Linked DNA regions of Arabidopsis thaliana. The protein of the gene in region 1 interacts with the protein of each later gene in a pairwise test. Each region holds a gene or a part of one and is shown in the gene's direction. Other genes may lie near its edges. The genes, in order: AT1G62520 and AT5G41350.

Region 1 (16,152 bases):
CGCATGTAGTAAATTAGGCTTGAATCATGAATTGGTTCCGTAACTTCTGAAGATTATCTCTGCACGATTTTACGGATAACTGGACTTTATGGTTTTCGCCATGAGCCTAGCTTCTTCTTGTTTGGTTTAATTTACTTCATATCAACGATCTGCTCATTTTCACATCTTCTTATTTTGAGACTTTTTGTTGTGCCTAAAGTCGTTCCTCAATTTTGATGGTTAAACCTTCGGTTTCCACACAAGGGATTGCAGTCTTCAAATTAATTATTGTTTAAAATTCGATGTGCAACAATAATATCCATATATACCTTATAATCTTATATATTGAAATGATTGTGTTTTGTAACTTTGGATGTATTGTAAGATGAGATGTTATAAGGATATTATTTATTAATTCATACAACAACAAATACACACCCCAATGAAACTATATAAGAGAACAGAAAAAAACACATAACTGTGAAGTTTAGAAGCAATCATACACACATACATAAGTAACTAGATGAACACACAAATACAAGATAACAAAGACAATAATATATAATCTTTTTTTTTTTGGTAGAAATCATCTTGTCTGTCCAAACAAGAAGATTATATTGATATGAAGTGTGTGTTGTATAATTAGGTTCTTGATTAGCATTGGAAGCCACGAGGAACTTTTTTGCTGCAAACATTGAGAAGAAGACTGAGAGAGAGTGGGATATTCAGGTTGATACCGAGGATGTTAGCCTTGAGCGCAGTGCAAAGACAAGCTGCAGCCTCAAGATCAGCGAGTCCTTGGATGAGGGTGCAACATGGCTCGACCGGTGGCTTGCCAAGGGTTACGTTTAGTAGGCCGTTGAGTACGTTGGCGCAAACTCCTAGCTTAAGGGCGTCTCTAGGGCATTTGGCTATTGCCGGGCTAGGACTAGGGTGTGGTGTTGGCTTGGGTTTAGGGTTAGGTTTTGGCTTGGGAGAGGGGCTAGGTTTATGTTTTGGCTTGGGAGAAGGGCAACCGCAGTTACCGCAGGCGGATATTGTTGTGAAGAAAAGGAAGTTGAGGATCAAGAAAAGAGCTAAAGATTTTGTGGTTCTTGAAGCCATTGTTAATCTCACTTTTGGTTATAGAGGAGAGGTTTCAAAAACAAACAGTACTGTTTTCTTTGGTATGTGTGAATTGGGATGTTGGAGAAAGATGGAGGGTTCGAAGTTGCTTTTATAGTAGTTTGAAGGACATGCCGAGAATGTTTATGACCTCATATATGTGATTATTTAAGAAAAACATCGGTGAAATTCTGAATTTTTGGTTTATAATTATTTTTGATTACTGATAAAAAGAGGTTATTTGATATATGAATGTCCTGTGTAAACAGAGCATGTTAGTGCTGATTCTAGACTGGGTTCGAGAAGATTCTTCCAACAATTTATATGATTAAATTCAAGTGCTAGATAACTCTGTGGTGGCAAATTGACAAAAGCAAAATTTGGAATATATATTGTCCATTTTGTATATTATGGTAAATAAGAAGTTTTTTTTTTTGTTAAAAAGGTAAATAAGAAGTTTTGCACCTTTAGTTTCCCACGACTCTTTTCTATAAGATAAAACATATAACACTTGGAATATATATTGTCCAGTTTTCTTAAGAAAAAACATCCAGTAAGTTCAGCTATAATTTTTAATAAAATTATGAATCTTTTTTTTTTATCGCGAGTGATTTATCTACATAATCTTTATTCTTTTTAGTCACATACTCTCATTATTATCTTATTATTGAATTATCATTATTTTCTTATAGTTAGTATTGAAATTTGCAGGAAAATGACAAGATTAAAACCATGTGTGGTCCTTGGACATTGATCTGGCAAACAACAGAAGGTGAATATTTGGATTTTTGTTAGGTTCTTCAGATTATGATGAAACTCTTCTTGAACTTATCCTCTTGGTAGTATTTTTTAATATATAAAGTCGCATTATTAATCTAGATATGACAAAGTTTCAATCTAATTGCTCTATAACCTAGGCATATCGTCGGAAAGAAGACATTCTGACATATAGATATACTTCATCTGTATACTTTTAAAGCAACTTCCTTGTATCTTCTGCGTTCGATTATCCAAAAATATGTAGAAGTTGTTTGAAACATTTCAAATTTTTGTTATTAACCTTTGGTTGTTTTCTAATTAAATGTTCAATGTGTTTGTTAAATGTTGTAAGATTATATATACTCTAGAAAAAAGCAAAAAAAAAGTTAAGCCGTTTGGAATGTAAAAGATGTCAAGCCGTAATTTTCAATCTCCATACATTTACAGTTCTCAAAGAAACTCCAACTGCGATGTTCTACTTCCATACAATAATGTTAACAAAGAGATAAACATTTCTAACCATGATGTTCAATCTCCATACTTTAATGTTTCAAAGAAATGAACATTATTCAGAATATGTGATAGTGGAGCTGCTGATTCTCTTTGTGCCCTTCACGAAACAATTGAAGGAGGCTGGTTTCTCTTTTACTTTTTCAGTTTATGTAACTTAAAATCGATCAAATTTCCGTTGAGTAAACACATTTTTTCCGAATAAATTTTACATTTTCTTCAAAAAAGAAAAAACAATTGAAAACAATATAAGATGATATATGATAATACATAAAAGGCCTACTTCACATAGATTACTAAAGATGTCTTATTTACAATTCGTACACGTGTGCATGGATGACAAAAGATGATCCATTCTATAGATTATGAACTTGTGTGTCAAAACACATTAATTTCTGTACACAAACATTTTGTGTGGAAGGTGGAAGTCATTTTATTTTAAACCTATAATTATTTACATAATCTACAATTATAGGTTTTGAACCTTTTTTTTTATGTTTGTGTATTTTTCGGATGTTATTGATTTTGAGATTTACTTTTTAAAATGTTTCCGAAGAATTTTCTTAACCTTTCTTGTCGTTTGACATTTTTTATATCAAATCACACAAAATGAAAGATTTGTAAATTCAGTAGTGTAATAATCTAAAAATTTTACATGTACCATATATTGTTAAAATATTTTTTGTTCACATTGTATAACAAAACCATTTTTTAATTCATTTGCACTTCAATCAATACTCGACAGTTGACACTCTTGAGTTTTGGGCCTTCATCCATAAAATTGGCCCAATATTTTAACCATTGCAAAATCACATGGACATATTGGGCCTTCGCCCATCAAATGGCCCAAAATTCAAGTATTGCAAAACCGTACCAGTATCTATCAACCCTACCAATATCGAATTTTGTTATGAATCTATCATTGTTTTTTCATTAATTGATTTGCAGGATATTTGATCGCCTATATAGGAAAGAGTGGGATGCTAATTATAGTTATATTGTACTTCTGTTTAATAGAAAGAGATGGAAGGGAAATTATAACTGTATAAGAGGTGTGTGTATATGTGATATATTGAGATTGTAATCATCAATAAATATACTTTTTTTGGTCAACCTCTGCATAAACAGCGTACGTTCTTGTCAGCGTAAGTTCTTTGAATTCTTGAAATATGGTGAAAAAATGTAATTGGTACATTAAAAGCTCTTTAGATTGGAATGCATCATGTTGATAGATTCTAGCATTGATAGATTTTAATTTTGAAATCCATTTTTCAAATGAAACCAAACCTAGCTATTGGGAGCTCATAATGAAATAAAACTGTATTTATTATTTCATAGATCAAAAAAATTATTGACTGTTATTTCTGAATTCACACGTTGTAAACTCCAAAACAACAAGATCTGAACCTTATTAATTATTGAGCTTTGATTCTTTTTTTTTAAATGATTACTTTTATTCTGATTTTAAATATTTTGTTCATCAAAAATAATCATATTAATGGTTTATGTTCTATACCATTTGAACCAACCTCTTACAAACTTGATAGCCAGTAGTTTATTAGTAAAAATAAACCGTCACGCTTTAAAGCCGTAATGTGGAAAAATGATACCATCATGATATAATTTAGAAAGACTTGGTTTATTCATTAACATAAGAAAAGTATTTATACATAATGAGATTTTTTTATACGATAGAATCGTATCACATCTCAATATTTTAAATTTATCCTAATATATCCTAATACCCTCCTTCAACTTGGTGATCTGAAATTTCGAGCACCAATTTGGACAATAAATTTTCAAACATATGTGTAGAAAATAGAAGAGCGTCGACTTGTAAAACGACAACAAAGTAAAAGAAGTGAAGCGGCAGCTTGTGGCTTTCATAGAAAACAACGACACCAATGGCTTGTAGAAACGGTAGAAGATAGACGTGCGACAGCTTGTGAAGCAGCGGCAAAGAAGAAGTTAAACGGCTGCAGCGGTGGCTTTTATGGAAAACGAGGCAATAGTAGCTAGGTTTAATAGATAACTGGTAAAATCAAATATATTTATAGTTTAAAAATTGTAGAAAATAGAAGATAATGGAAGCAACACTAGTTAGTACATCGGTGGCTAGGTTAATGATTTTAGAACAAAGGCGGCGGTTGCTGAAGCCAAGCAACGACGGCCATTTAAAAAACAAATTAGGTCACTGCTACCATGATAGATTTGGGTTTTTAACATGGTACCAGCGACCTAATCTGGGCAATAGATGGAGTGGTTCTAACCCTTTATATACTACTTAATAATTTCTCCAAGTTTCGATGTGGGATTTTCTTCATTAACACCCTTCTTACGTTCAGATATTATTGGCTCTGAAGCGTAGATATATGTTGAAACAACATCCACTGGATGATCCAACGATTGGATGGTTCTAATACCATGATATAATTAAAAAGAACTTGATTTATTCATTAACATAAGAAGAGTATTTATACATAATGAGATTTCCTTATATGGTAGAATAGTATTACATCTCATTATTTGAAGTATATCCTAATACAGATCAACTAATGAAAAATGGGGTGCTGATATTGACCATATAGATGTATACCCATTTGAAAAAATATATCAAATTAAATGTCCAACCGTCCAACTATTTTTTTCGAGATATTCAACTTGTGTCACTCGTAACTAGTAACTAGTGTCACATTTTATTTTTGGTTGAGATTATTTCTTCCAGGATTATATACGTAAATCGGTTACTGAGGATTAAAAAACAAAAAAGGAGGATTAAAATTTGAACACCGTTCCCGGAGGAGACCAAGAAGATTCTTAGGGCAAAGCGTGAAGTTAAAAGGCTGTCGAAAAAAAAAACATTACAATTACAAACTTACATCTTTCACAAAACCCTAGTTTCTACCCAACCAAACTTCCTCCTTGGCTCTCCTTTTTATTTCAATTCCAAACTAGCTCCATCCATATTTGATTTATTTATTTACTTAGTTTGGATCTTATAATCATTACACACTTTATAATATACTATTACTATTCATGCAATTTGAATATGAAAGTGAAAATGGCAAACTAAGCCCTAGAGATACTTAGATTGCACAAAGTAGTCACTGAACTTTTCCAAGTAACAACGCAACCCTAAACTTTGGAATCTACCAGCTTAGTCCATATATATACAGTTTACAATATATATGTATTAGTTGGTTTAGTATATACCACTTTGAACTTTCTACCAAATTTTATTGATTTGCTTAATTAATTTAAAATTAATATATATTTGTACGTTTAATTTGTTTAGTATACTACATATAGTTTGTTGAGTTTAAAGTTTTAACGACTATCTATAGTTACATTTCTTTGTTTAATAATTTAATTATAGAGTATTTCACTAGTTATATATACTTCTTATGATATTGAATTAATCGGAATTTTGATAAAATGGATCTACTTTTCCAATATAGATAGTGAGAGTCATTTTGAATAGATTTCTAAAAGTTAAGGATGCGTAGTGATGTTTAGACTTTAGTATTTAAATACTTTGAGTCAAGTATGGACATGAATTCAAACCATTTATGATTACGTGCGGGATGGGAGTATGTATTATTCTATTCTTTTGTTTAGTTTTTCGTAATAGTTTACTAGAATTGCTTTAATTATGTGTTTACATATATCAACGTTGTGGCCTCCTCATGTTACTACACGACCCACTCTCCCAAAAGTTTCTTACTACTAAAAAAATATTTTCACCATAAGATTTCAAGTATAGTGTATATACGGTTTTTAATGCACATGTCTGATATTTTTTTTGGGTTCTAACTTCTAATGTCTGTTTTTTTTTTTACATACACATTTTCTCATAAACACACTTAATATCTCATTTTTACGATTTATTATATACTAATACAACCAAATTAAGCTGGTATAACTCTGGCATGGTTATATATATATTCGATAAATTCCGGAGCTTTGTGTATCAATTCTTATAAATGCATATATATTCATACTGAGCTGTGAATCATATGGTTGGTATAAAATTTAACTAAAGATAATAACAATTATTGTCACATAAAGTAAAGCAATATTTAAGTAGAAGATCATATTTAAAATATGTCTTCTACATATATATAGACATATAGTATAACAAAACACTTATCATCTGTATAAACTAAGCAATTGCGTCAAATAGAAACTTTAAAATATAATTAGTGGCAACCTAAATCTTTATAATATCTAAGATCAAACATGTAGTATAGTAATTTGTGTTAGTATCGTCGATGCACCGTCACTCGAATTTAAACTCGCATCATACATGATACATACTGTTGAAGTGTATAATCGTTCATACTAAGAAACTTTCTAAATTGTCATTGAAATTGAAATTTTCACGGTATGATAGATTATATATTGAGTGACACAAACGGATTTACAAAATATTTGAACACTATTCAGAACCAACAATGTCATATATACGCATTAATCACTAATTAGTCAAATGCTTACTTATGTTAGACAAGGCAATTGTAATATCATCAGGGTATAGATTATTATAATTATTAATTTAAGTGTGTAATTAAGAAAAAATAAGAGGAAGACGACAGATAAGAAAATGGGTGTCATTATGTGAGAATTTCAAAATTTTCAGTGCGATTTGTTTTAATAGTCCGTCGTTGGCAGCTTCCATTCTCTTTCTATTCTTCTATTCTTCCATTTTGTTTTTGTAAATCTCAAAATTCTAAAGATTCCTCCTATTTTTAAAAGCAAACAATTATTTTTATATTAGTAGCATGACAAGTGATTAAGATACGCATATCCTAGTGAGTAGTATACAATTTTCTCTATATTATATTTATATTGTGTATATTTCAGAGTGTTAGTTGAGTTGATTTTATGAATTAAATTATGTGAACTCCTGAACCAGAAAGCAGCCAACTATATCTCGCTGTAGTGCAGAAACATATATTCAGCATTGACAGACACAATTTGTGAAGTTAGATAGCTTTTATCACTTGCTCACTGATACAATGTTTTGTGAAAACACATCAGCTAGTCAGTAGTCAGATTGCATCAAATTTTGGGTTCCATGAGAGGACAAAATAAATTGAAATAGACTTTCATTTTGGTTAGTAACAAAGTTAGTAATTAGTTACAGTAAACTAGCTTATATATATACAATTTCGATAGTTAGAAATAGTTTTTTTTTTTTTTTTTGTGTGCAATTTTTCTCTAATTCATCTTCGAATCTTTTATTATTTTGGTGTTTTACTTTTAAAGTTACAAACAAGCTACCATTGACCACTGATTGATTCAAAGACGACAATGAATCGTGATTCTTACAAAATTCTATGGTGTAGAAAATTAGAAATACATATAGTTTTGTTTTAGCTCACTAGCTTTAATTAATTATGACAAGAAGAAAACTTATAATTTGTATGATAAACAAGATATACAAATTAAGTAGAAATGCGTATTCTAAGAAAAAGGTTGAAATGAAATCATTATTTTGTATTGAATATTTTTTGTAAGATAGCGTAAAATTTACGTTGATTTCGAAATATTTTTGTCATCGACTAAGAGATCCAGATATCTTAATTGACTTGAATAGACATTACATGTGAAATTCTATTGTTGAGATAAAAACAAATAGAGTTACGAAGTTGACGTATTTTTAAAAAATGTTATTCGTGTTCTTTTGTGATCCATTTATGATAAAAAAAAGACAAGAATCACAAGACTGTACCAAAATAAAAACAATAAAATCCGGCTGTCAATTTTTATCTTACATTTATTTCCGTCTTGTTTTTCTGCATTACCTTACATAAAATCAAAAAACAAATTTTCCATTCTTATAATTTTTTTGAAAAAACTTAAAATCAATAAGACAAAAGTGATATGAAGGAATGGGGTCATATCGTAGAATCATCTTACATAAATCAAAAAAATAAATTTATGTTGTAAAAAATTACTATGTTATATTAAACTAAAGGGTAATACCGTAATTTACACTCCCAAGTTTCGACGTACACTTTTAATATTCATCATCATCATCGCGCCATGTTGCTTTCTTCTTCTGCTTCTGTTTCTTTTCCAAGTTTTTAAAGAGAGAGAGAGAGACTGAAAGAAAAACAAAAAACAGAGAGCTTTGGTTCCGGATCTTGATTATGGCAAATGGGTGGGTCAAATCGTTACAATGCAAGTCGAAAGCTTTCGATGATGTTTACAATCCGATTAAAAACCCGAACCCGAATCCGAGCCCGAGTCCGAAACATCTCATGTCAAGCTACAGTTGCAGAAAAAGCACACAGAGTCTAAAAGATGTGATCGAAACCAAAAAACCCAAACCTAAACCGAAGAAACCCAATCCAAAACCGGATAAACGAGAAACCGACCCGGTTTTATCACCATCAACCCGGATCCGATCAACCGGAGTTCGTGATCGTGATCCGTTTTTACCGACATTGACGGAGCTATCGGAAGGTCATCAGTCACGTAATGTGGTGGAGATTATCTTTCAGACGAGCTGGGGTCCGAAACCGTTTTCGGGTCGGGTCGAAATGATTTTCAAAGTGCAAAACGGGTCTAAGACTTTGACCCGGTTCGAAGAGTATCGTGAAGCCGTGAAAGCTAGGAGCGTGGGGAAAGCGCGTGAAGAGAACGCGCGTTCGGTTGCCGACGGGAATGAAACAATGAGGTTTTACTGTTTGGGTCCAAGTTACGGTGGAGGTGGCAGCGCGTGGGGTATTTTGGGAGGAAAAGGCGGTGGCGCGTCGATATATACGTTTGCCGGAAGTAGCACGGCGAATGAGAAAGCTGGCGGTGGGAAAGGGAGGAAGGCAATGTTGGTTTGTCGGGTCATAGCGGGTCGGGTCACTAAGCAAAACGAGTTAAAGTATGACTCGGATTTGAGGTCACGGTTTGACTCAGTGAGTGGTGACGACGGAGAGTTGCTCGTGTTCGATACACGTGCGGTGTTGCCTTGTTTTCTCATAATCTATCGGTTGTAAAAATTCAAAAAAATAAAAGTTATTTTAGTTTCTAACTTTTTGACATTGTAATTTCATTTATCAACGCAATTTTCCCCTAATGTTTAGGGATTTGTTTTTATTTCCAATGTAAAATTGGTAGAAAATTGTGTTGATAAATGGTAATTAATTTTGTTGACGACAAGAAAAAATGGCAATTAGTAGATTTTCTTTCTTTCTTTCTTTCCCAACTAGTAGTAAAATATTTTCTTATTAAATGATGTCGTAAATAGTGAATATTTTGGTGCGTTGGCTTTTACAATGCCATTAATAGATTTTATTACACAGTCAATTGTTATTAATTTTTACAGTTGGGTTTTGATTCTACATTCAATTTTCTTCCATCTATAGTAAAATATTTTATCCACTAAAATATCTTTTACGTTACTTACACGACTACTTCCTTAAAGCGAAAAGCTATAGTTGGAAAATTTCAAATTTTGTAACGTTTCTTTAATATAAAATAAATAATTTCAAAATTTTAACTGAGAGATGAGAGTAGTTCAAAAGAAGGAATAATCAGTGAAAAGTGATTCCCACTAAAGAGCATTTGTAAAAGATTTAAAGTCAAAAAAAGAAGAAGAGAAAAAGAGTAAAAATTGAAAATGAGAAATCATGAAAGTTACATTGGATCCGCAGGGAGAAGAATATTTAGAATGCACAAGTGATGAAAAATTGAAGAAATAACAGAAGCGTAAAATTTAGGCCTGTTGATGTAAAAAAAAAAACAATTAGGCCTGTTGGGCCCATTAGGCCCATAAAATAATTTACGGAATCAGTCCTAGCGAATCTTTCAAGAATTTAAAAGAACCAACTAATCTTTGAAGATCATAGACTCGAACAAAGTTCCAACTTCCTCCTCTAACTTTCAATATAGTGAATGATTTTGAAAACTGCTATATGTTAAAGCTAAACCAATGGAGCTAGAGCAAATGTCTATAAGACCTCAAGCACCGTGAATTTCATCATCTCCTTCTTTTACCTACATACGTTTGAGTCAAACCTTTGGTGTTTCTCAGGTTTGGTTTGCATTTTCCATCTTTAGTCTTCCCCTGCATTTTCTTGTAATCTCTCGATCTAAAAACCGTCTCTAAGAGGTTAATATCTTCTCGAATCTCATGTCTAGAGAGCGATACAAGCTCCGGGAGTATCTCCTTTTGGAAATTCTTCATTCTCCTCCCTCTTCTCAGCTTGACTCCAAACTCTTTCTTCTTACTGAAGTCATATATGGCCTTTGATGATACACAACAGAGCTCTTCAGGGACAGTTTCTCTTATTTCTAAAGTATGTAGCTCAAATGAATCGCAAGAACGACCCGGTTCTTGGACACCGTGACTTTGATTATGAGAAACAGCTGAGATGTGGACTAAACATTCAGCTGCCATTTGAATTACTTCACACGAATCTTCTCCTTCAGTCCTTGAATTGTTTTCTGCGGTGCAACATGAAGCTGGAGATGCTGAACAATCTTTTTCATGTACACCATCTAAACCGCATTGATGATCAATTGAAACCGGCTCGTAAGCCGGGGGTTTATTAAGATCCAGCAAACATGATCCATCTGAAATATTCACTTTCTCACTTTTCTTGCCACACAAATTTGTGCCATATGCTTCAATCCTCAAATCTATGCTATCTTGGGAAGAACCAATGCTGTGGAATTCTCGGTATTCGACGCTTTCATGATTTTCAGGAAGTTGAAGATCACAATCTTCCATCAGTGGATTAAGGCAGTTTCTATTCACCTGCTCATTACACGACACAAAGCTCTCGTCTCTTGCTGTATACACCTGAAATGAGAGTTGATGAACATGTATTTTTGCTATTTTAATTAAGAACAAAGGCAACAATGAGAACAAAAAGATTTAAAATAGTATACTAGCGACATAACGTTAAAAATCTTTACCTGCTGCCCAAAAAGAGTGACCATTCTAATTTGATTTTTCTTAGAACTTTCTTCATACGATTCAAAACGTTTCTTGCACAAAATTTCGTCCTTGGACAAACCGTGGAGATACATTACAATGCCTTTTGTCTTATTTTCTCCATAGGACGTCTCTCTATCAAATGCAATGGATATATAATGAGACAATCCATACTCAAAACATCAACTAAATCGTTAGAACTGTGACATTGCCACAAAAATTGGAACAGAGAATCGAGCTTAAACCCTAGAATCAGGCCTTTACAGATTCCAAATGATTTCATTTACAAAAGAAAACTAGCTATGAAAATGTATACACATAATCTATGGCTGCATAACTTCTAACATGACAAATATAAATAACTATTGAATATTGCTGTACAGAACCATTATCAAGAACTAAAATCGAATAACAAATTTGACTAAGATTTTTATCAGGTACTGATCTAATTAGAAGTAACTAAAACCATTAATCATTGTTTAAAAGTAAATATATTCAGATTTTCAAAGGTTCTGAATCCAAAATCCTTTGAAAAACCTTCCTAATTTGCAGAAAATTTCATGAAAAACTGAACTTGTATTGATCATTCACATACATAGACAGAGAGAATCAATTTCTCTTCTTATGCATCTATTCTAAACATGCAAATTTCGTGACACTAACAAAGAAATGATTTTGATCATTAAGTATGACTTTTACCGGAGATTTCAATGATGACTAACCAAAATTATCGACAAAAGAACAATTAATATATAATGAGGAAAAATCAATATATTCCTACTATGAATAATTCAAAAACTAATTCAAAGACAGTATAATTTTAATAGGGAAAACAAGAGAGAAGAATCATTACCCAGAAAATAAAATTGCAGCTTTCAATTGTTAGATTGACCAACAGACCTATGAGACAAATAGAAGTAATCTTAGTAAGACAATATTCATGGTTAGAGTCTTTGAGATGTAATCAACAGATATATATATATATATATGTCAGGTCTGTTTGTATAGGGTTATAGGAATTACAGAAGAAATCTTACCATGAGGAGCGAGAAGTGTTTCTCTTTATTATTTTTTATTTTTAGAGAGATTGAGAATTAGTGGTTATTATTGTGTTAGTGGGCACAATTAGCAAACATTTTTATGTTTATATATATCAACTTCGTTTCTATCCTTTTTATTTTTTTATAACTCAAAGACATACTTTCAAAAGAATATCAAAAACCATACAATAATTTTTCTATTTCCATCAATGGCATAAGCAAAACACTTTCTTATATTAAAACAAAAATATTTTAGATTCTAATATTTTTGTTTCCATTTTTTCTAGTTATCATTGTATATTCAATTGTTTTCTTTGTGTTCACAATGATTGTATATTTCCTTTTGTAATTTGACTCAGAGGAAATTTGAATTGTTTTTATGTTAGATTTGGAAATTTAGGTTGAGCGAGCAAGACTGCCAAAAACAATAAAAGCTGCCCAAAATAAAAATAAAAGAGCGAGCAAATGGTTATGGTAACAAAGAAATCTAATTACCAAAACAAATAGTAGATCTATGTAATCTATATAAGGCATGAAGTCAGGCCGGTTTATGGGCTCTGCCCACGGCACAAGGCCAAACTTTTTTCGTTTTATCAACTTCATTAGCTTATAAGGGCCTTCAATTTATATTTTAGTTTTGCAAAATAGGGTCCAAGGCCCATTTATATTGCTTGGAAAGAGTGAGAAACTGTTGCTAGTTATCTTTTGAGAGTTTGATTTTTTAACGTCTTTTATTATTTCTAAACAAGTTTTCATACCTAGCGTTGGGTGGTCCGGCTTGGTTGCATGAACGGATAGCAGTGGAAAGCCGTTCGAGTCGATGACGTCTAAAGTACAACTCTTGCATGGGATGAGCTTTTTCCGTTTTGTCTTTGGTTCTAATCTATTATGTTTTGCAGTCCGTTTTCTCTGTATTTCTGTTTTTTTTACTCTGTTTCTTTATTACTCTGTTTCATTTATTAAGACGTTAAGGAGAAAAAACAAGTTTTCAAACCAATTATACAAACATATCATCAAAATTATCAAAAATAATATAGAACGATAAAAGATAAAAACAAGTTTTGACTCTGCTTTTTTTCGAAAAGCCTTCCTCGCTATCGGTTTATCAAATTTGTTATTTTTCTTTTTCGTACTCGAACTCAAGCATGCGTTATCACATATAAAACCGACATTACTTTCGCGGATAACTCTTGTTTTTACTGCTCATGATGCTTTACTCGGTAGTCCAATCTTTGATCTATATGCTCTAGTTATTATACCCAAGGGTAAGGGATGCTTGATCGACTAATGTATCTTAAAAATGTTTCCTACATGATGACTTTTGAAGAATCCCTACAAGACCAAATTATTGATGTAGATTGATCACCTACACAAAGTTAATGTATAAGACTTTTGTAGGAACCATATATGGTTAAGATCTAAGACCATGTTATTGATGGTTTTTGTACCAAAAAACGTCAAAATCGTTTATTTTTGTAATTTTATCCTTCACGTCCAAAAAATACAGAATAATTATATGAAATCAATATATGTAAAGTTGTTAAAATAGGCTATATACAATACCGTATTATTTTTTTACTTCATATGATTTTGCATTTTTTCGACATGAATGGTAGTTGAAAAATTGTTGATTTTAAGATTGTTTTTTTTTTTGCATAAAACTCTATTATTGATGGATAAAGTCAGAATTTGATTTTTCTGGATTAGAAAAAATCAAGAAATTTACTAAAAAGAAAAAAGAAATTTACGGATGTCAAAAAAAAATAAAGGAAGAAATGTACAAGCTACAAACAAAAATCGGGTAGTTGTGTCACGTTTATTCTTCACTTGATTCTACAATGATTGAGATAAAGTTGCCGATTTTGCCGGGTAGCAAAACACGTGAATTATGCAAAGACTGAAATAACATGACTTGACGATTTAAATAGTAAGCTTATTAAATATTTCACTCAACCCACAAAACGCAATTAACCGAACGGTCCAAGCCTTCGTACTTTTAGGTGGCTATTCGTTGAAGAAGATAAATGAAAGAGAGGGTACGTGTCCATCCATTTGCGGTTAGGTCTGGGTCCATGGCCCGTCCCTTTCAAAATGCAATCAAGGTCCGTAAATCGGTAAATGTAATTAAGAAATTGTAATATCCAAGCTAAAACTTACTCTTTCCGTTTTAAAACGGGATATAAGTTGTTTTAGAGTTTTTCTTTTGAGTCAAAATATAGATGTTTTCATATCTTCATATAAAAGAAATATTAATTAAAAAGTTTTATCTAAAAGGTTTATAAAGAATTAAATGACTGTTTTTCTTCATTGGCTTTCACCGAGTATTTCTTATTAAAAATATATATTTGACTAAAAGCATAAATTTTATCAATCTCTGTCCTAACTTCCAAAACATCTTACATTTTGAAATGGATGAAATATTTTTCTTCCTTCTCTTTCTTCATTTGAGGTATATATGAATTTAATCACACATTTTAAATAATTAATGTTAAAATGATAAATCCTATGTTTTTCTATTATGAATTTTAAAACTAGAACTATTGAAGTATTGATTGTGGAAAATATTTTAATATCCAGTTATTGAAAATATTTTTAACAATGGTTTTTCAATATGGTTTCAAAATTCAAGATGATTTGGGAAAAGTTAAGTTTATTGATCACATGCACCAATATATATATACACTAATACACAATTATATATATTAATTTAAGCACTAAACTTACTAATCCTTATCTTAACATAAGATTTATCCCGTACCCACTCTAATTAATAAACATATATCTCCGAAAATTGTAGAACCATATAAAACTTTAACACTTCCTTTCAAGTTTGAGTATATATGTAAATCACAAACGCTCAACTTGGACAAGTAGCTAAAACAGGAACTTCTCAAGGCTATGTGGTTCGAACATTATATGTAATAATATTGAACCACATCTCTTATACTAAGATAATCCGCTTTGATATTTTTAGTTTTCTCATAGAACATTGGGTTAACAGCAATGTGCAATGCTGATTTCCTATCACAAAACATCAACATCGGATCACTATGCTTCACTACTCCTAGATCCGTCAAAAGTCTCTTACTATTTTAGTTCAAGCTGGCAGCCATGCCTATATACTCTATTTTGACGATTTGGTTTACACCGGTAACGGTTGTTGAATGAAGAAAATCAGATTTTAAATTCGATCATATTCTTTTATTAAGTTAAATTAGTTTGTGTATTGTTCTGACAACAAAACAATTTCAGCTAATTTTATAACAAAATAAATTGTGCTTTTTCGGATATTTCCCCTTCCATTTTTACAATAGAATGATCGAATATTTTTGTATGAAGTATATTGTTCTTACAACAAAGATGGTTTTTTTTTTGTTTTTGGTTAAAGTACGAAAATGATGATGATTAGCCATCTTGTTTCAGTTCTATTATATAAGCCCATTAATAGCACGGAACGACCTTTAACCAAAACACAGAGATCATACGACAGTCTCCTACCAAATAAAGAAAAATCCACCATACCATAAAGTTCAAATATATGGCACCAGCTCAAAACCCGATCAGTTCTCAACACGTGGTAGTCATCGGAGCCGGAGCAGCCGGTCTCGTAGCGGCTAGGGAGCTCAGTCGTGAAGGTCACACTGTTGTCGTATTAGAGCGGGAGAAAGAAGTAGGAGGTCTCTGGATCTATTCACCCAAAGCCGAATCCGACCCGCTTAGCCTTGACCCAACCCGTTCCATAGTCCACTCGAGCGTGTACGAGTCTCTCCGAACCAACCTCCCACGAGAATGTATGGGTTTCACGGACTTCCCTTTTGT
Region 2 (17,609 bases), on another chromosome or scaffold:
ACAGCTATACCGTTCCCAAACATTTTGCTCAAACTTTTTTCCTGGTATGGCCTCGGTTGTGCATGGGGCTTCAGTTCCATGTCAAGATCGGGATTAACCTGAGAGACACCATCAAGTTATTAACAATCACACACCTGCGGTGCATATCATCTGGTAAGCAAAAATTGGCCTGAAGTGTAATATTTGTTACTCACATTGTCGTTCCTGAAGTCATATTCCTCTAACATAGGGTAATTCAAGGCATTTGGTAAGCAACGCTGCTTCACATTCTCCACCTAAACACCAAGAGAAAAAGAGCATGACACCACGAGTTAAGTAAAGATCATACAACTTTACCAAACTCATCAATTCGATTACTTTTAAGAAGCATTAGGAGAAATTTACCTGTGCAGGGTCAATCTCAAATGAGTGAGTTTCTTTCTCTTCTGCTGCTGCTGCAAATTCCGCTTCATTCAATAGCTCCCCGGGTCCTGCTTCAAGTTCACCGCATGTTCTGCCGACCGAGAATCCATCACCGCCATAATATGGCTACCAAAAAAGTTAATCTAAGTTGGTTCGACATACTGTGGAGAATACAATGGTATTAGATTAAATAAATCAACAGTCAATGAATCAAGAGTTTAAGAAAAAAGGATTATGAGTTAATTTACCAACTGAAACATCGTTCCAAGGAACTTAGGAGTTAGGAATATAAACATGAAACCAAGAACCTGAGAGAATCAAAATATATATATATCTGCCACACTGGTGACAAAAGATGCAAAACACCGTTGAGAACAACCAAAAATGGTATGTATTTCCATCCAGCATAAAATCTTGAAAGCAAACATAATGAACTAAATGGAGGAGTTCAACATACCTCAGAAGAAAATCTAGCTCGGTTTATAACATCGTCGCTGAGAAGCCTTTTCAAAACCTGAGATTGTTTTGTGTTTACAATTGAGCAAAGGCAATGGAAAAACGAAAACCAATATCCAAATACACAAGAGCAGAGACAGAGCATCAGCCTAATGAACTTACCTCTGGGAATGGGGACTCAATAAAATACCGATTCTTCTTCAAAACCAGCTTTACTTTCCCATAATTAGCAGTAGAAGCATGGATGAACTCAATCATCTCCTTGGGTAGCTTAGTCTTAGACAGTTTATTCAAAACAGAAATGATAGTTTCTGTCTCAAGACCAACGGAAACAGCAGCATACAACGAGTGTGGGGTTAAATTATACTCGTGCATTGACTCAGGCCTGAAATAGTAACAAATGAATGAAAATCAACAACAAAAATCATAACTTGTACATTGATATAATCACCAAATCAAAATCGAACCTGCAAACGGGTTCAGCAATGGCGATAAGAAAGTCATAAGCTTGTTTATAGAGAGGAGAAAATGTCTCCAAGAAAATCCTTCCATCAGCACAAGCCCACAAAGGCCTGTTTCCATGATCTGGCTTCAACTCCAATTTAGTAAAATCTCTCTTCTTCTCCTCTCCTTCACCTTCAAAAACCATTATAACTTTTCAATTCAATTTTGTTCCAAATGTATCCATTTGTAAGTAATAAGTATGCTACAATCTTACCATCACGAGAGTCTTCATCAGCATCATCATAGTAATCTTCAGCGTTTTGGATGTTCTTCATCTTTTGATCATCCTGAGATTTGACAGTACAATTACACTCACTAACTACCATCTGAAGAGCCCTAATTGATAAAATAAAAAATTGATCTGGAGAAGAATCAAGACGAACCTTGCCACCATACTTCATCTTCTTGTTAGGTCTTCCTCTTTCACCTGAACAACAGAACTTCACAGTATTGGCATACTTTTGTTTGGCAAGATAAACTAAGCAAAAATCAGTAAGATCGAGCTGCTTAATACCGTTTCCCATATTGATCTTCTTTTTTTGTCTTGTATCTTCCAATTGAAGTTATCAATTAGCGATTCCTGAGAAGAACAAAGAAGGAAGACAACCGGCGCCGTGAAAATTTACCGTTGAAAGCTATTTGGCGGAGGGAGTAGCTGCGTCCCCGGCGGATTTTGAATCGGATTCGGTGTCGGGTTCGGGTATCACTGGTTTAATCATTAATGTCAAGGAAGGGAAATGTAAAGTAGAAGATTCAAAAGGCTACAAATAAATAACGGATCAAATATGGGCTTTAATAGACCTCTTTTAATGTGGGCTTTCTTATTCTCACGTTGAGCCCATTCTTTTTTCTTTTAGCCTCTAAGATTATTCTTACATATGCAAAATGGGAGATGAAAGACAAACCATAGGATGAGGAAGGAAAGCGCATGAGAGCATGCACATAGTTGGTACTCATAGAGTACCATTAATAATATTTTACTATTAATTTTAATGTTTATTTATTGTTTGAAACTTTTTATAATATTGATAATAAATCTGTTTCCACCGGTGAAATCGTATTAGTATCATTAAAAAAAAAAAATTGCAAAATCGAAAAGATGCGTTTTCCCGACTAATCGAAAAAAAAAATTTCTCTCTTTTCACACAAAAACATGTTTTCCCAACTAATCATAACCCGCCACGTTATCAGAGACTGGTATCAAAGAAATCACTCCAGTGATACTACTTAAACCCAAATCAGTTATTTTATTCATTAATTTAATATTTTTGGGCTTATGATACTCATAAAAATTGTGCAATGTACATGGTCTGAGAATGGGAGACGATTCAATGCCCAAAGAGTTGCCACGTTCTTCTCCTTCTCAAGTGACACAAAGTATGAACCAAGAGGAGACCAATGTACATCCAACGCTCCTGCACAAGACAAATAGCATTACATTACCCCATCTGCAGCAGTATATAATCTCGGTCCCTTAGAGCATCCTCATTGCATATCTTTTATGGGTGTCTTTAAACTTTTAAACTACTTAAAAAAGTGGAAAATAATAAATGGATGTGTCTTAATAGTAGACATTTTACCTGTCAAAAGAGAGAGGGTCTTTAAATTTAATATTATTTAATATGAAAGACATTCATTGGAGGATGTGCAATGAGGATGCTCTTACCTTGGTCATATAGACATTATCTGGATGCACAAAAGAAGCAAGACCTTCTTCTTACCAACGTCTCAAAAACATGTCGGGCCTTCTTCTTACGATTTGGATAACATCTTAACAACTGGGCCATAACGGATGACTAATTGACCCAGATCTTCTTCATCAGTACGACACTTAAAAGAAAAAACACACAGAGTCGGGTCTTCTTCATCTTTCACCTGAACAACAAAATTCCCCAGAATTGACAATACTTTTTTTTGCAGGGTAATATGAAAATTAACCAAAATCAGTAAGATCGAGACTTTTATCGTTCCCCATATTGATCTTTTTCTCTTCATCGAATCAATTTTAGACATTATCTCTTGTCTTTTCAATCGATTATATCAATCCGGTGTCGAAGACAGAAATTCTACGACAGAGGGAAAACAAACGGTACCGTAAATATTTTCCGTTGTAAGCTAGACCGAGAAGCGAGCTGCGTCTCCGTCGCATTATGATTCGGATTCGGTGTCGGGTCCAGGTCCGGGTATGTCGAGTCCGTTACTGAGTTGATGTGATCATGTGAATGCAGAGAACGTTATAGCAGAAATGCAAACTCGATTCATATATAGAAAGGCTACAATAACGGATCCAATATGGGCATTTAGTAGGCCTCTTTTAGCGTGGGCTTTCTTTAATCTCAAATTGAGCCCATTATTATTTTTAATTCGAAATCATGACAAGTAATTATTTTTTAACCTCGAAAACTAAGTACGTTTTACTGTTGTTCAGGATCTGTCAACCAAATTATAATCGTGTTTTATATGTTGGTTCAGCGAGATATCATGACAGTTGACAATAACAAAATAATTTTCAAAGGTATTCTCGAGGCGATATCATGATATGCTAGAAAACAAATATCAAAAAAAAGGAAAGAACTTTCTAATATCAATTAATCAATTCACATAATAAAACAAATATCAAATGTTAACGGTCTTTTAAGGTAGGGTGTCTTCGTTTAGGTTTTCTTGATTTTGTGCCTGAAACAAATTTGCACCAAAGTTACAACTCAAAACATATAGCCGAATATGAGTTCTCTTGTCTCAAACATAACGTTTTTTGAAGATATTGTGTCGTTTGGTTGGGTCTTTAGGTTTCTTGGATTGGTTACCAGATTTTTGACGACCTGAGTTGTATTCCATGTAGACCCTTCCATTTGCACCGGACATTGCACTCATCGATCCCATGCTTCGTCGCGTCTTTAGAGCCTTTCCATCTGTGTCTTCTTCAAGTTGTTCTAAACCAACCATATCGTCTCCAGCATTCAACACCTTTCCGAGAAGAGACAACTGTTCTTCTTGACTGTGGTAGCCCAAGCTTGAACCCGCGTCCGGAGGTGGGAGGCTTGTTATTACCTTGAAGCTATAACCTTGGTCGATCAAAAACTGCTGTCTTTTCGTTGAATAATACATTTCCTGCATTTCAACATTCACGATCCTTACATCAGTCATTCTCCATTCAATCAGTCATTCGATTTTTATCGGTTCAGGAATTCAAGTCACGGGTTCTGGAAAGCAAAATTTTTTCTGTGTTTTGGAAACGAGTGCGGACTAGAACTGAATTATATTTTGGTTCTGATTTGGTCTGATGAATTTCAGTTTTTATGGCTACTTCAACAATAAAGTGATTTACCTGTGTATCGGTAGAAACAAGCGAGTAGAAGAATGCATTGTACTCTTCTTTTCCACCAGCCATTCTATCTTCAAGTTTACCCTGTTTTTGATCACGGAGAAATAAAACGTGTTGGATCCAACAACCAAGAGGAACTCTAGGAGAGACGCAAAATGTGATGAGTTATAATACTTAAAATCACACCTTAGCCCTAAGGATACGACCCAAACGTTGAGCCTCTTGACGTCTAGAACCAGCATGTGACGAAATCTGGATGATCACATTCGCTTCAGGGATATCTATGGAGTTATCACCAACCTGTAGTCAATAAAAGAAACCGAAACTAAGTTACTTGATGAAAATGGAATGAACAAGTCTCTATATATTCCCAGGTCAATGGAAAGGAAACAACGCTAATACCTTTGACAGGAATACAGTGTTCACGGTTTTACTGGTTTTAAACGCCTCGAGAATTTTTGTTCGTTCGATATGGCTACATATTGAACAAAGAGAACTATCAGATTGGAAACTGAGTGAAACATACAAAATTGTGCTCTCAATAGGTGGTTCTTTAACGAACCTGGTTGCACCGTAAATCATCGGTTTCCGGAGTTTCATTGCATACTCTGTAAGTGCAAAAAGATTGTCTGCAAAGACGATGATTTTATCCCCACGTTGTTGTTCATGGAAACGTATCAAAAATTCACAGGCTCTGAACTTGTTAGGGTTCATGACATAAAGCGCCTGCAGACACCAGAAGACAAGATATGTAAATGTCAGAACAATTGAAGGGGTTTCCTAGTTTCTATTACAGGGTGATCTATTAGAAGCATTTGCCAAATTATAAGACATACACAAATAACCTATAATATTGATGTTTACCATATTATAAGGTTCTAGACTACATCAAATTCATGGACTCTAGTGTATCAAAACAAACAAACATAAAATAAGATAGTCAATTATTTTAAGATCTTTATCCAGTAAAAATATCCAAGGAAAACAAAGATCAATGCGGAGAAAGCTTAGACGCATTAACCTGTTTTTTTTTCGAGTTCTCTTTCTTCAGATATTCTGCAAAAAACTCTTTGGTCATGGGACACCATACTTCAGCACACTGAACATTTGCAATAAAGCCTCCTTTAACTAAATCTAGCCAATTGGCTTCATAGAGTTTCGGGCCAATGAGGAAGTTTAAATCTGTAATTTTTTCGTCTTCTCTCACAAGGGTGGCTGAACAAAAGACCAAAAAAGAGACTTAGCTTCTGCAACTGAAGTATAACAAATAAAAAGGTATGTGAAAATGAATTTTTCATTTACCTGTAAGTCCTAGCTTGCAGTGAGATTTTGTAATACTGATAACTTTCCTAAACATATGGGCTGGAACCACATGCACCTATGAAAAACATAACTCTTAAAATGTCACGCATTGGATGGAAACTTGTTATTTGTAGATCCCAGTAACACTGGATAGTGGATACACATTCTAAATGAACCACATATAACTTTTCCGCAATGTAAACTACCAGTAAACACTAACTTCAATTCAAAGGCACATCACACTAAGAACAATTTGATTACCTCGTCCATAAGCAGCAACCCCCACTCTCTGTTTCTCATTTCTTCTATAATCTTCTCTGCTTCTTCAGATCGTTTACCACCAAAGGCAATCATATTATAGGTTGTCACAACAACACCAGCATTTCCACGGAATCGTTCTTTACTATCAGAAGTGAAACGGCATATTTGGTCATCTTTTATAGTAGACCACAACTTAAATTGGTAGGCCCATTGATCCACCGAGACAGCATTCGTTGCCAAACAAAGACAACTCTTCTTTATACGAGCCGCTGCAGAAACACCAACTAGAGATTTACCAGCTCCACAAGGTAACACTATAATCCCAGATCTTGCTCGTCCTGCAGAATCAGGAGTCTAGATCAGTCACAAGCTTTCAGGAGAAATAACAAAGATACTTATCTATTAGAAGTTCACAATGAAGCTAGATCAGAACAGTGTATGAAAGTACAAATCTATATATCTAAGAGAAGTTCACAATCAATTTAGCAGTCGCTGTAAACAAATTACTAAGGAAAATAAATGCGGGCGTAGACAGTTATATCGTATTACCGTTTCCAAACATTTTGCTCAAACTTTTTTCCTGGTATGGCCTTGGTTGTGCATGGGGCTTCAGTTCCATGTCAAGATCAGGATTAACCTGACAGACACCATCAAGTTATTAACAATCACGAACATCCAGTTCATATCATCTGATAAGTAAAAATTGACCTGAAGTGTGATAATTATTTCTCACATTATCGTTCCTGAAGTCATATTCCTCTAACATAGGGTAATTCAAGGCATTTGGCAAGCAACGCTGCTTAACATTCTCCACCTACACACCAAGAGCAGAAGAACATGACACCGTGAGTTGAGTAAAGATCATATAACATTAACAAAGTCATCAACACGATTTATTTCAGAAGCATTAGGGGAAATTTACCAGTGCAGGGTCTATCTCAAATGAGTGAGTTTCTTTCTCTTCTGCTGCTGCTGCCAATTCTGCTTCATTCAACAACTCCCCAGGTCCTGCTTCAAGTTCACCACTTGTTTTGCCGATCGTAAATCCATCACCACCATAATATGGCTAGAAAAAAAGTTAATAAGTTGGTTCAACATACTGTGGAGAATACAATGGTATAAGAGATATCAATTTCACATTCAATGAACCAAGGAGTTTAAAAAGAAGGATAATGAGTTTATTTATCTATTAAATAGTTCAAGAAAAAATTAGAATTTAAACACGAAACCAATAGCCCCAAGAGAATCAGGATAGATCTCTCTGCCGCATTGGTATCAAAAGATGCAAAAACTGTTGAGAACAACAGATCATGGTATGTATTTCCATCCAGTAATAGTAAACATAAAGCACTAAATTGAGGAGTTCAACATACCTCAGAAGTAAATCTTGCTCGATTTATGACATCATCACTGAGAAGCCTTTTCAACACCTAAGATTGTTTATATTTAACGAGTGAGCAAAACCAACAGAGAAACTACACAAAAATCCCATACGCATAACTAGAGAAAGAGGATCAGTCTGGTGAACTTACCTCCGGGAATGGTGATTCAATAAAATACCGATTTTTCTTCAATACCAACTTCACTTTCCCATAATTAGCAGTAGAAGCATGGATGAAATCAATGATCTCCCCGGGTAGCTTGGTCTTAGATAGCTTATTCAAAACAGAGATGATAGTTTCTGTCTCAAGACCAACGGAAACAGCAGCATACAACGAGTGTGGGGTTAAATTATACTCGTGCATTGACTCAGGCCTGAAATAGTAACAAATGAATGAAAATCAACAACAAAAATCATAACTTGTACATTGATATAATAATCAAATCAAAATCAAACCTGCAAACGGGTTCAGCAATGGCGATAAGAAAGTCATAAGCTTGTTTATAGAGAGGAGAAAATGTCTCCAAGAAAATCTTTCCATCAGCACAAGCCCACAAAGGCCTATTTCCATGATCCGGCTTCAACTCCAAATCAGTAAAATCTCTCCTCTTCTCCTCTCCTTCACCTTTAAAAACCATTATAAATTCTATTTCAATTTTGTTCCCAATGTATCTATGTTAATTATACGAGAGTAATCAATATTACCATCACGAGAATCCTCATCAGCATCATCATAGTAATCTTCAACGTTTTGTATGTTCTTCATCTTTTGATCATCCTGAGATTTTTACAGTACAATTACACTAACTAGAAGTGAAGAGCCTAATAAATAAAAAAAGTCATGTGGAGAAGAATCAACACGAACCTTCCCACCGTACTTCATCTTCTTTGTAGGTCGTTTTCTTTCATCTAAACATCAACATTTTCCCCAGTATTAGCATACTCTTTTCACCGGATAATTCAATAAACGAATCAAAACTCAGTACGATCGAGATTCGAGACCATTACCGTTTCCCATATTGATTTTCTTCTTTTCGCTCCTCTTAATCAAATCGATTTTAGGGATTGTTTCTCTTGTATTTTCAATTTGTGAATTCGCACATAACCTAAATTGTACGACGGAGGGAATATACAACCGTCTTCGTGGTAATTTCCCGTTGTAAGCTATTCAACGAAGCAAGCTGCGTCTCCGGCGAATTCGGATTCCTGTGTCGAGTCGGTGACTCGTTTGAAGCGGAGGAAGGAAATTGTTAAGCAGAAACGTAAGAACACGATTCATATATAAAGGCTGCAGTAACAGATCAAATATGGGCTTTTAATAGGATTCTTTAAATGGGCTTTATTCTTAAGTTTGAGCCCATGTTTCTTTTTTAAACATCGATAAATTATTTGCCGGAAAAAAAATAGTAATAATTTTACTGAAAATGGTACTTCCCAATTTATAATTTTTTGGTCGACACTTTTCAGCCGATTTTCAGTTATGTAATTTCATTATTGAAATTTTGAAAAATACATTGTAACGGAAAAAATAAAATAATTAATCAGCTAATTAATAATTGTATTAATGAATTTAATAAATCAGGTAAGTAAATATAATATTGAGCCCAAAAAGAGTCTTTGTAATTTCTTAGGAAAGTCATTTTGATAGAGCGCACGATAAACACAGCACCGCAAAAAGCACAGAAGCAGAGAAAGACGAAGACAAAACAAAAAAAGCTTCCCCCAAGAACAAAAAGTAAAATTCTCTCTATGATTTTGAGATTTTTAATTCCTCTTCTCTGATTCAATCTCGAGAAGATGATCGGTTCTTCTTTGGTGTTTGTTCTTGCTAGTGATCGCTTTTCTTTAGGTTTTGAGCTTGATTTTTGTGTGAAATTCTGTGGGTTTTTTTTTTACTGTTTTGATCCGTATTTCTCCTATGTGTTTATGCTAGATTCTGAGAATTCTGATGTTTATTGTTGCTTTTATAAGTTTCGGTTTAGGGTTTTACGGATTAGCTTGCTCTTAATGGAGCTTTGGTTCTTTTTGTGGATTCATTGTTTGTGTTGGAGTTAAATTCTGAGTAGAATTGTTTTAAGTTTTTGGGGTTTAGTGTAAAACTGATTTGAATTTATTGCAATTGTGTGTAGATGGTGCTAAAGAGAATGAGAATTGTAGGAGATTCACATAGGCTTGTAGTCGCAACACTGTTGTCTCGATTTTAATGGTTGATGTTTATTGTATCTTTGATTATTGAGAGTGAATTTGAACTGTTAGTAGCTGAATTGTTTTATTGTTGCTACTAGCATGATGAGTCTGATCAGACTTTAGTAGACAGCTCAAACTGATATCGAAAACGATAAAGCTTGTTTGAGTTTCTTGCATATAGATGATAAATATTCTCCTACTGATCTCAGAATGTAATTTGTTTCTTCACATATCTTGTAGGTTAGCATAGATGAAGAGTCTTCGGGTTTTGTAGTTTTTGTAAAACAGAAAAAAAAAAAAAGAGAAGAAGAGATGGGAGGTTGCTGTTGTTGTTCTTCTTCACGAAGAGCTGATGTAGATAATGGACCTGCGTACTACTACGTTAGTCTGATACTTCTCCCACTTCCTCGTTTTTTTTGGGTGTCCTTGCTTTGATAGGCTGCAAATAAATCAATCTTGATGTGCTTCAGGACACTAAATGAGTTAAAAGCCCCAACGGGCTTCGAGATTCATATGGGAATATAACTTGTTTTATGACTTGTATTTTGCAGTACCCAAGGGCAACAGAAGAGCGTGTGCCTTTATCTTCCGCTCATAACAGGACTTCCTCTGCAATCTCTACTGGTGTTGTAGTAGTAGACACAAACTTAGAGACATCATCTCCTGATGCTTATATACCACCGCCACTGCCTACCCCTTTCGATGTGCCTATAGGGATTCCTCAAACACCAGCTAGTGGTGAAGAGGCTACTTGTGTTGATATAAGAGAGGTTTCGGTGGACTCTGCTAATACCGAGTCTGCTCAAGAAACAGTTGATGGTATTACTCTCGGGGTTCCAACTACATGCTCACATAAAGAGACAGATAGCAAAATCCAAACAGAGATTGATCTTGAATCTACTGAAGAAATAGACCCGAAGCTATCAAAAGCTGTTTTTATACCAATAGAGGAAGAGGAGGATTGTCCCATATGTTTGGAAGGTAAAAGCTTGTTTGCCTTTCCCACATCTCAAAAACATATAAACATAATCGTACCTTACATGACTGCGAGAATGGGTTATTTATTATATTGTCTGTGCTTTTGATTCAGAATATGATATCGAGAACCCGAAACTTGTAGCCAAATGTGATCACCATTTTCACCTTGCATGCATTCTAGAATGGATGGAGAGAAGTGAAACCTGCCCCGTCTGCAACAAGGTACATTCTTTTATTCACTTCTCTTTGGTGTATGTCGAAAAACTCTAATCTCTAAGTAAACCGTAAATAATGAGTAGTTCCAATTTAGCTTGTTTACAAATTCATTTTAATTCCCGGGATATGTCTGAGAGGATCCGTTTGTTCTGCAGGAAATGGTATTTGACTCTACTCTTGACTAGCAACCCGCAAATGCCGCATCTTAGAAGGCTCAATTCTCTCTGTATCAGAAGAAAGAAATTGGAGAACAAGAGAAAAACTTAAAAAGAAAAAATGGGTAAGAATACACTAATAGCTGATCACAAAGTTGGATTTACGAAACATGTCAGTGTTGATATACATATGTTTGTGTACAGACGTTTCAAATCGTCTACAAAAAAACGGAGATTAAGAATTAGAGTTTGTGCTTTAGATTCACTTCTGTGAATAAAAAACGAGACAAAACTGATAATTTTTCTTCTAGATGTTTTAATTTTGGTAATTCTTGTTTATAGGTTATTTTAGGAGTGTTTTAAAGCTGGGGTTTCAATTTGGGTTTGATTCAGTTTTTTCTTGAGTTTAAGAAAAATATTAATCAAACTGAAATTGAGAGTTTGTTATGTATGGATTGGGTTTATTACGGTTCGATTTTAGTTTGGTTTAGTGCTTATTTATTTTCTTTATGTTGTTCTGTGATATGTAATATGAAAATTGTTTATACTTACTAGTTTGTAGTGTTTATGTTTTAGATTTCTTAGTTCTTCACATTTTCGAAACTTGGTTTGTTTAGTTGTCTCATTAGTTGAATATGTGATGTCGTATTGTCGTACATCTTACTTACATGAGTACGTCAAATTAAATGAGACTTATCTAGTAAATGATATTGTTACATGTAGATGCAATATTAGTCATTGCTTTGTTTAATAAATAATATTTGTCACAAGTGAGTAAGTGACAGATGAATAGTTGCTAATTATAGTGAATCATGCTAATGGTATATTGGACAAATATTTTTATTTTTTAAAAAATTTCCTGTCTAATTTGTTTTTTCTAGTTAAATACTTATACAGATTCATGTTTTTAGACTGTAATCGGGCATGACCATCCAACTATTTTTGTCGACCAACAACTTCAACGCGCCAGAAAAGCGTTTTGAGTGACCATTACTGTGTAAAACAGTATAAAATAGAGGTTTTTTTGTCACGCCATTGGTTTAAATGAAAAATTAAATTTAACAAAATTGAAAACTTTAAAAATAATAAAATCAGATAAACATAAGCGAACAACGAATAAAATGTGCAAAAAAAATCACCAAGTAAAGTAATTTGTATAAAAATATTCTTAGGGTTCTAGTTACTAATTTGTATACAAAACATAACACCAAGTAAAGTAATTGCTGTAAAAAACACTAATTAACATATTCTTAAGAATTATAAACACTAATACTTAGAGATACTTTAGGTACTTATATCGAGTAATATTTTGACTGAAAATTTACTATTTGACTATTCAAATATGTTATCTTAAGCCATTACAATCTCAAATACAAAAGAAAAAGAAACAAAAAAGAGGAAAAATTAGGGAAGTAATAATGAGAGTTTAATATTCTTAGTTAAATAGATTATACTAATAAATAATGAGGTATACAAATAGTTACTGATTTTAATGAATCATCATAAATAGTATATTAAACGTTTTTTAAAAATTTCTTAAAAATTATTTTTTTGAACTAAATACTTTACAGATTCAAGTTTTATAAAATATATTCCGAAAATATCTACGTGTTCGAAAAATATTTATTTTACGTTCAATTGATTCATTGTTTCAATGTCATTTATTATTAGACTATAAATATAGTTTAACTATGTGATTAAAAACCTTTTCTAAAATTTAATAATAATTACTATAAAACTTTATAGATTTAAAAGAAATAACAAAAATATGATCTAACTTTGGGAGAAAATAATTAAAAATTTTTAGGGAGAAAGTAATTGAAAAAGCAAAACAAAATCACAAAATTTATTACTAGTGAAGGGAGTGAGATTCTTATTTCTAACAAAGGATATATATTTAGAGATACGATCTCCTTCGGTGGTTCACTCCCATCATCGATGTACGTGAAAATATATAAATAAAAAATCAATAAACGAAAATCTTTCCTTTTTCTCTCACACATTTTTCTTCATCTCCACTCGAATCCGGAAGAAGAACAAAAACCAAAAAAAAAACCCAGAAAATCAGAGAAACATAAGCGAACCGACAGAGAAAAAAAATGTCTTCGCCAAGCAAACGCAGAGAAATGGATATGATGAAGCTGTAATAACTTTCTAATTTTTTTCTCTGTCGGTTTCATTTGTTACTTTTGATTTGAGTTTTTTGTTTCTATGATTGATTTGATTTGATTTTATATTGCAGGATGATGAGCGATTATAAAGTGGAAACGATCAACGATGGCATGCAAGAATTCTATGTTGAATTCAATGGTCCCAAAGACAGTAAGATTGATCTTGTCTGAGAATAATCCCCAGTTTCGTTGATTGTTGTCTCTAAATCAGTCACTAGTGTGCTATTTTGATTCTGTTACTTGTGAAAATGATGATAAGGGTATTTGTAATTCTTCCTGGTTTTCTTAGATTTTGTTCATATTAGTGTCAAAATTGCAATCCGTTATTTGTGGTGGATTCGGATCTACGGCGGTTCGATTCCACCATGTTTACACACTGTGTGTGGTTTACTTACTCGTGGTGGGCTTGCGAGTTTGCTCACCACGGGATTAGTTAGGCGCTTCGGCGAAGTTCGGTTGGGATACTCGGGTGTTAGTTGTGAAGAACTGTTGTTAAACTATTATTTGTGGGTTTAATGTGTGTGTTGGTGATAGGTCTCTATCAAGGAGGTGTGTGGAAGATAAGAGTTGAGCTTCCAGATGCTTATCCTTATAAATCTCCATCTGTTGGTTTCATTACTAAAATTTATCATCCTAATGTTGATGAACTGTAAGTCTTTTTAAATTCAATCCACTAGATGTTTTGGATCAATTTATTTCAATCTTTTTCATCTTTGGTCTCCTTTGTTTATGCAGGTCGGGTTCTGTTTGTTTAGATGTGATTAACCAAACTTGGAGTCCTATGTTCGGTAAGGGCGATATCAAATGTGGTTTATTTTGAATATTTGGGATCAAATGATTGCTGTTGTGATTTAACTTTATGTTTTTGGTTCTTCTTTTTTTCAGACCTTGTGAATGTGTTTGAGACATTTCTTCCTCAGCTTCTTCTGTATCCAAACCCATCAGATCCATTGAATGGAGAAGCTGCTGCGTTAATGATGCGTGATCGTCCTGCTTATGAGCAACGAGTTAAAGGTAAGTCGACTCAGATTCTCATGTTAAGAGATATATCAAGATTCTGACAAATCTGTTAGTTTCTTTCTCTTTTTCTTTTATTTGCTTGATGTGAGGTACACATATTTGCTTGGACCTGTTCTTAATGTGTGCGTTCGAGATTACCATTCTTAACACTAAGAGTTCCTCTCAGTCATTTTTCGTTTTAATGAATTAGAGCTTTTGTTTGGTTTATGTGTGAACTGAACTTTCGTAAATCTTGGAGCTAATGTAATGATCTGCAAGTGATTTATTCATTAGAATCTCATGATGAAGATAAAAGTTTCTGATCATTTTAAAGACTTAGGCATTTACAAGGTCTTGATAATGTTATGGGGATATTACGGTTTTTGGGGATATTTTGAGGAAGTGTGATGGTTATTTTGCTCGGCTTTGTTGGGTTTGCGGTTTCAGAATACTGTGAGAAGTATGCAAAGCCAGGGGAAGGTTCAGAAGATAAGTCTAGCGATGAAGAACTAAGTGAAGAGGAATACGGCTCAGATAATGAGGATGATGATGATGATGATGTTGCAATTGCTGGCAAACCAGATCCTTGAACCAGCTTTGGTAGGGGACTTGTTTTATTGTATATGATCATGAATTATCTCTGCTTATAACTCAACTGTGAAATCTATTTCTCCCTTTGTGCTTTGTTCACCTGTTTAATTTATCGGACCGGACGTTTGTGTACATTATTAGACCGAACCGAATTGTTAGTCTTTTCAATTTCAAATAAGTCTCTCTTACCGGTTTATACCGGTTATTGATTCGGTAATTTCTTTTCTTGAAGGCTATATGCATCGTTTAGATTATAAACGCATTGTACATATCCGTCTCAATAGCCAAAATTTACTAAACGCATTGTTCGTTTTGATTTGATGATCTCATCCACTTCAGTGGCCGTGTTAGCCTTGTACAAGTAAAAACTGTTCCTCTTCTCTGAAGTTTCACTGTTTATCCGTCTTATCATCCTCTGCCAAAAAAAAAAAAAAAAAAAGCGAAGAACGTCTTCTGATTTGCTCGTATGAATTTTCCGACGATCCCTCATGAATCGAACGTTGTCTCCATCAACGTCGGAGGCCGAATCTTTCAAACAACGAAGCAAACCTTAAGCCTAGCCGGAACCGATTCTCTCCTATCTCAACTCGCTACTGAGACAACTCGTTTCGTCGATCGTGATCCCGATTTGTTCTCCGTTCTTCTCTATATCCTCCGTACCGGAAACCTACCTGCTAGATCACGCGCCTTCGATGTTCGTGATCTCATCGATGAATCTAGATACTATGGAATCGAGTCTTTCTTAATCGATTCTCTCTCGAATTCGTCGCAGTTCGAGCCGTTCGATCTCCGTAGATCTAGGATTCTTCAATTGAACGGTCGAGATTCTCCGTCGAGTATCTCACCGACTGTAATCGGCGGAGGTCTCCACGTGGCGCACGGTAGCAAAATCACTTCGTTTGATTGGTCGTTGAGGCAAAAGTCGACTGTGTTGACTAATTTCTCCGCCGTGGATTCGCTTCTAGAGATATCTCCGGGAGTTTTAGCTGCCGGAGCTACCGATTTCCCTGGTTTGCAAATCATCGATCTCGATAACGGCGGATTCGTTCGTACGACTCTGAATTGGGAAAACGTTACTAGGTCTAGCTCAACGGTTCAAGCCATAGGTTCTTCTCATGAGTTTTTGTTCACTAGCTTTGAATCTAGTAGAAGGAACTCGAATTCGATTATGGTGTATGACCTTTCTAGCTTGTTACCTGTGTCTGAGATTGATCATTGTGAGATCTATGGCGCTGATATTGATTCTGCGATTCCATCGACTAAGTTGAAATGGATTCAGAGTTGTAATTTGTTGATGGTTTCTGGTTCTCATACTAGTCCTTCTGGTGTCAATGGTCACATAAGGTTTTGGGATGTTAGGTCAAGGAATATGGTTTGGGAGATTAAGGAGGCACAAGATTGTTTCTCTGATGTTACTGTCTCGGATAATCTCTCGGCGGTGTTCAAGGTCGGTGTGACTTCAGGGGAAGTTTTCTACGCCGATTTGAGGAGTTTAGGAACTAAGGATCCATGGGTTTGTCTTGGGGAAGAGAAGAAGAGAAACTTGAATGAAAGAAGAGGAGTTGGGTCTAAGATAGAGAGCTATGGGAATCATGTGTTTTGCAGTAGTAAAGGAAGTGGGATAGAGCTTTGGTCTGAAGTGATCACGGGTTTGGTGGGGAATGCAAGCCGGGATGTATTGGAAGAGAGGGTTTTTAGGAAGAATTCGTTGGGAAAATTAGCGGATTCAGGAGAAAACAAGATAACAGGATTGGCGTTTGGAGGAAATAGAATGTTTGTGACCCGAAAGGATCAGCAGTCTGTTCAGGTTTGGCAAAGTCCTAGTCGTGGAATATCTATCTAATGAGCAAGTATTAAGCTTTGGTTCGAGGTGATCACGAGTTGCTTAAAGCCGAATCCAACAAAAACTAGTTAGCGACTTACATTGTGTTAAAGAAGAATGAATGATCTTAATCCCAATACTTGATGAAGCTATTCCAACCATGAATTTCTTATCTCTGATAATCTTATAAAAAGGACTTACATCGTTCGTCAGACGAGGCTGTGAAGGATGTTTGCATTCTAACGACATGACCTTATACAAGTACTGCAGAGAGAAGCAAATGACGATGCTTGGCAAAATATCAAATTGCGGAAACACCTTTCGGGTTCAAACGGTGAGTTACAAAAGACACATCTATAATTCCACTAAAATTAGCGAGGATAGAGACATTTGTATTTTATTGGAAGAAAATCTGGTCAAATTTTTCGATCTAATTAAGGAACAAATAGATCACACTGTTGCTGTTGTCTCTGGAACAGGCCTTTATCTACCAGGGCTAGTTCTGTAATCGGAGAGGCCGTTATTACAGTTGCTTACTTCAGCTTCAGGAAATCTGTTACCGGAAAATCTTATGGCTCCACCTGCCATCATCAGACCTCCGAACATATTGTTGTCGTCTCTCTGCTGTGAAGAAGTCGCAGAATTCAGTTGTGCTGGAAAATTATAACCACCTGCCATCAGATTAGACTGAAAAGCTGCCGGAAAACCAGAAAAGTAACCATTGTTGTGCAACAGAGAATTCTCAAATCCTTGTCCTCCTGTGACTCCTGTCTGAAATTCAGAAAGATCAGGAGTCTGAGCTACTGGTTGTCTCATTTGAAAGTTGGTGTTACTTGCTGAAGGAGTAATCCCTTGGCTT

What was found.
Region 2: the proteins of AT1G62520 (region 1) and AT5G41350 interact in a two-hybrid assay, tested with the Arabidopsis thaliana proteins (one large-scale study listed by BioGRID).

The regions. Positions count from the first base shown.
Region 1 is NC_003070.9:23,135,999-23,152,150, forward strand, and holds AT1G62520 (sulfated surface-like glycoprotein), read left to right. Parts: upstream 1-8,386; 5' UTR 8,387-8,507; coding exon 8,508-9,350; 3' UTR 9,351-9,533; downstream 9,534-16,152. Other genes in the region: AT1G62510 (Bifunctional inhibitor/lipid-transfer protein/seed storage 2S albumin superfamily protein), read right to left, coding at 634-1,083; AT1G62515 (uncharacterized protein), read left to right, coding at 722-1,114, 1,353-1,415; AT1G62530 (hypothetical protein (DUF863)), read right to left, coding at 10,334-11,158, 11,275-11,388; FMO GS-OX2 (flavin-monooxygenase glucosinolate S-oxygenase 2), read left to right, coding at 15,872-16,152.
Region 2 is NC_003076.8:16,535,614-16,553,222, reverse strand, and holds AT5G41350 (RING/U-box superfamily protein), read left to right. Parts: upstream 1-9,250; 5' UTR 9,251-9,834; coding exon 9,835-9,837; intron 9,838-10,011; exon of another isoform or gene 10,012-10,058; coding exon 10,059-10,199; intron 10,200-10,369; coding exon 10,370-10,799; intron 10,800-10,908; coding exon 10,909-11,018; intron 11,019-11,167; coding exon 11,168-11,197; 3' UTR 11,198-11,761; downstream 11,762-17,609. Other genes in the region: XPB1 (DNA repair helicase XPB1-like protein), read right to left, coding at 11-98, 195-275, 385-528, 860-916, 1,021-1,243, 1,326-1,494, 1,577-1,649, 1,746-1,789 and 1 more; XPB2 (homolog of Xeroderma pigmentosum complementation group B 2), read right to left, coding at 4,102-4,473, 4,691-4,771, 4,874-4,987, 5,090-5,162, 5,250-5,413, 5,709-5,902, 5,990-6,065, 6,251-6,588 and 9 more; UBC4 (ubiquitin conjugating enzyme 4), read left to right, coding at 13,267-13,310, 13,410-13,489, 13,873-13,987, 14,074-14,126, 14,224-14,352, 14,785-14,927; AT5G41330 (BTB/POZ domain with WD40/YVTN repeat-like protein), read left to right, coding at 15,395-16,771; AT5G41320 (stress response NST1-like protein), read right to left, coding at 17,234-17,609.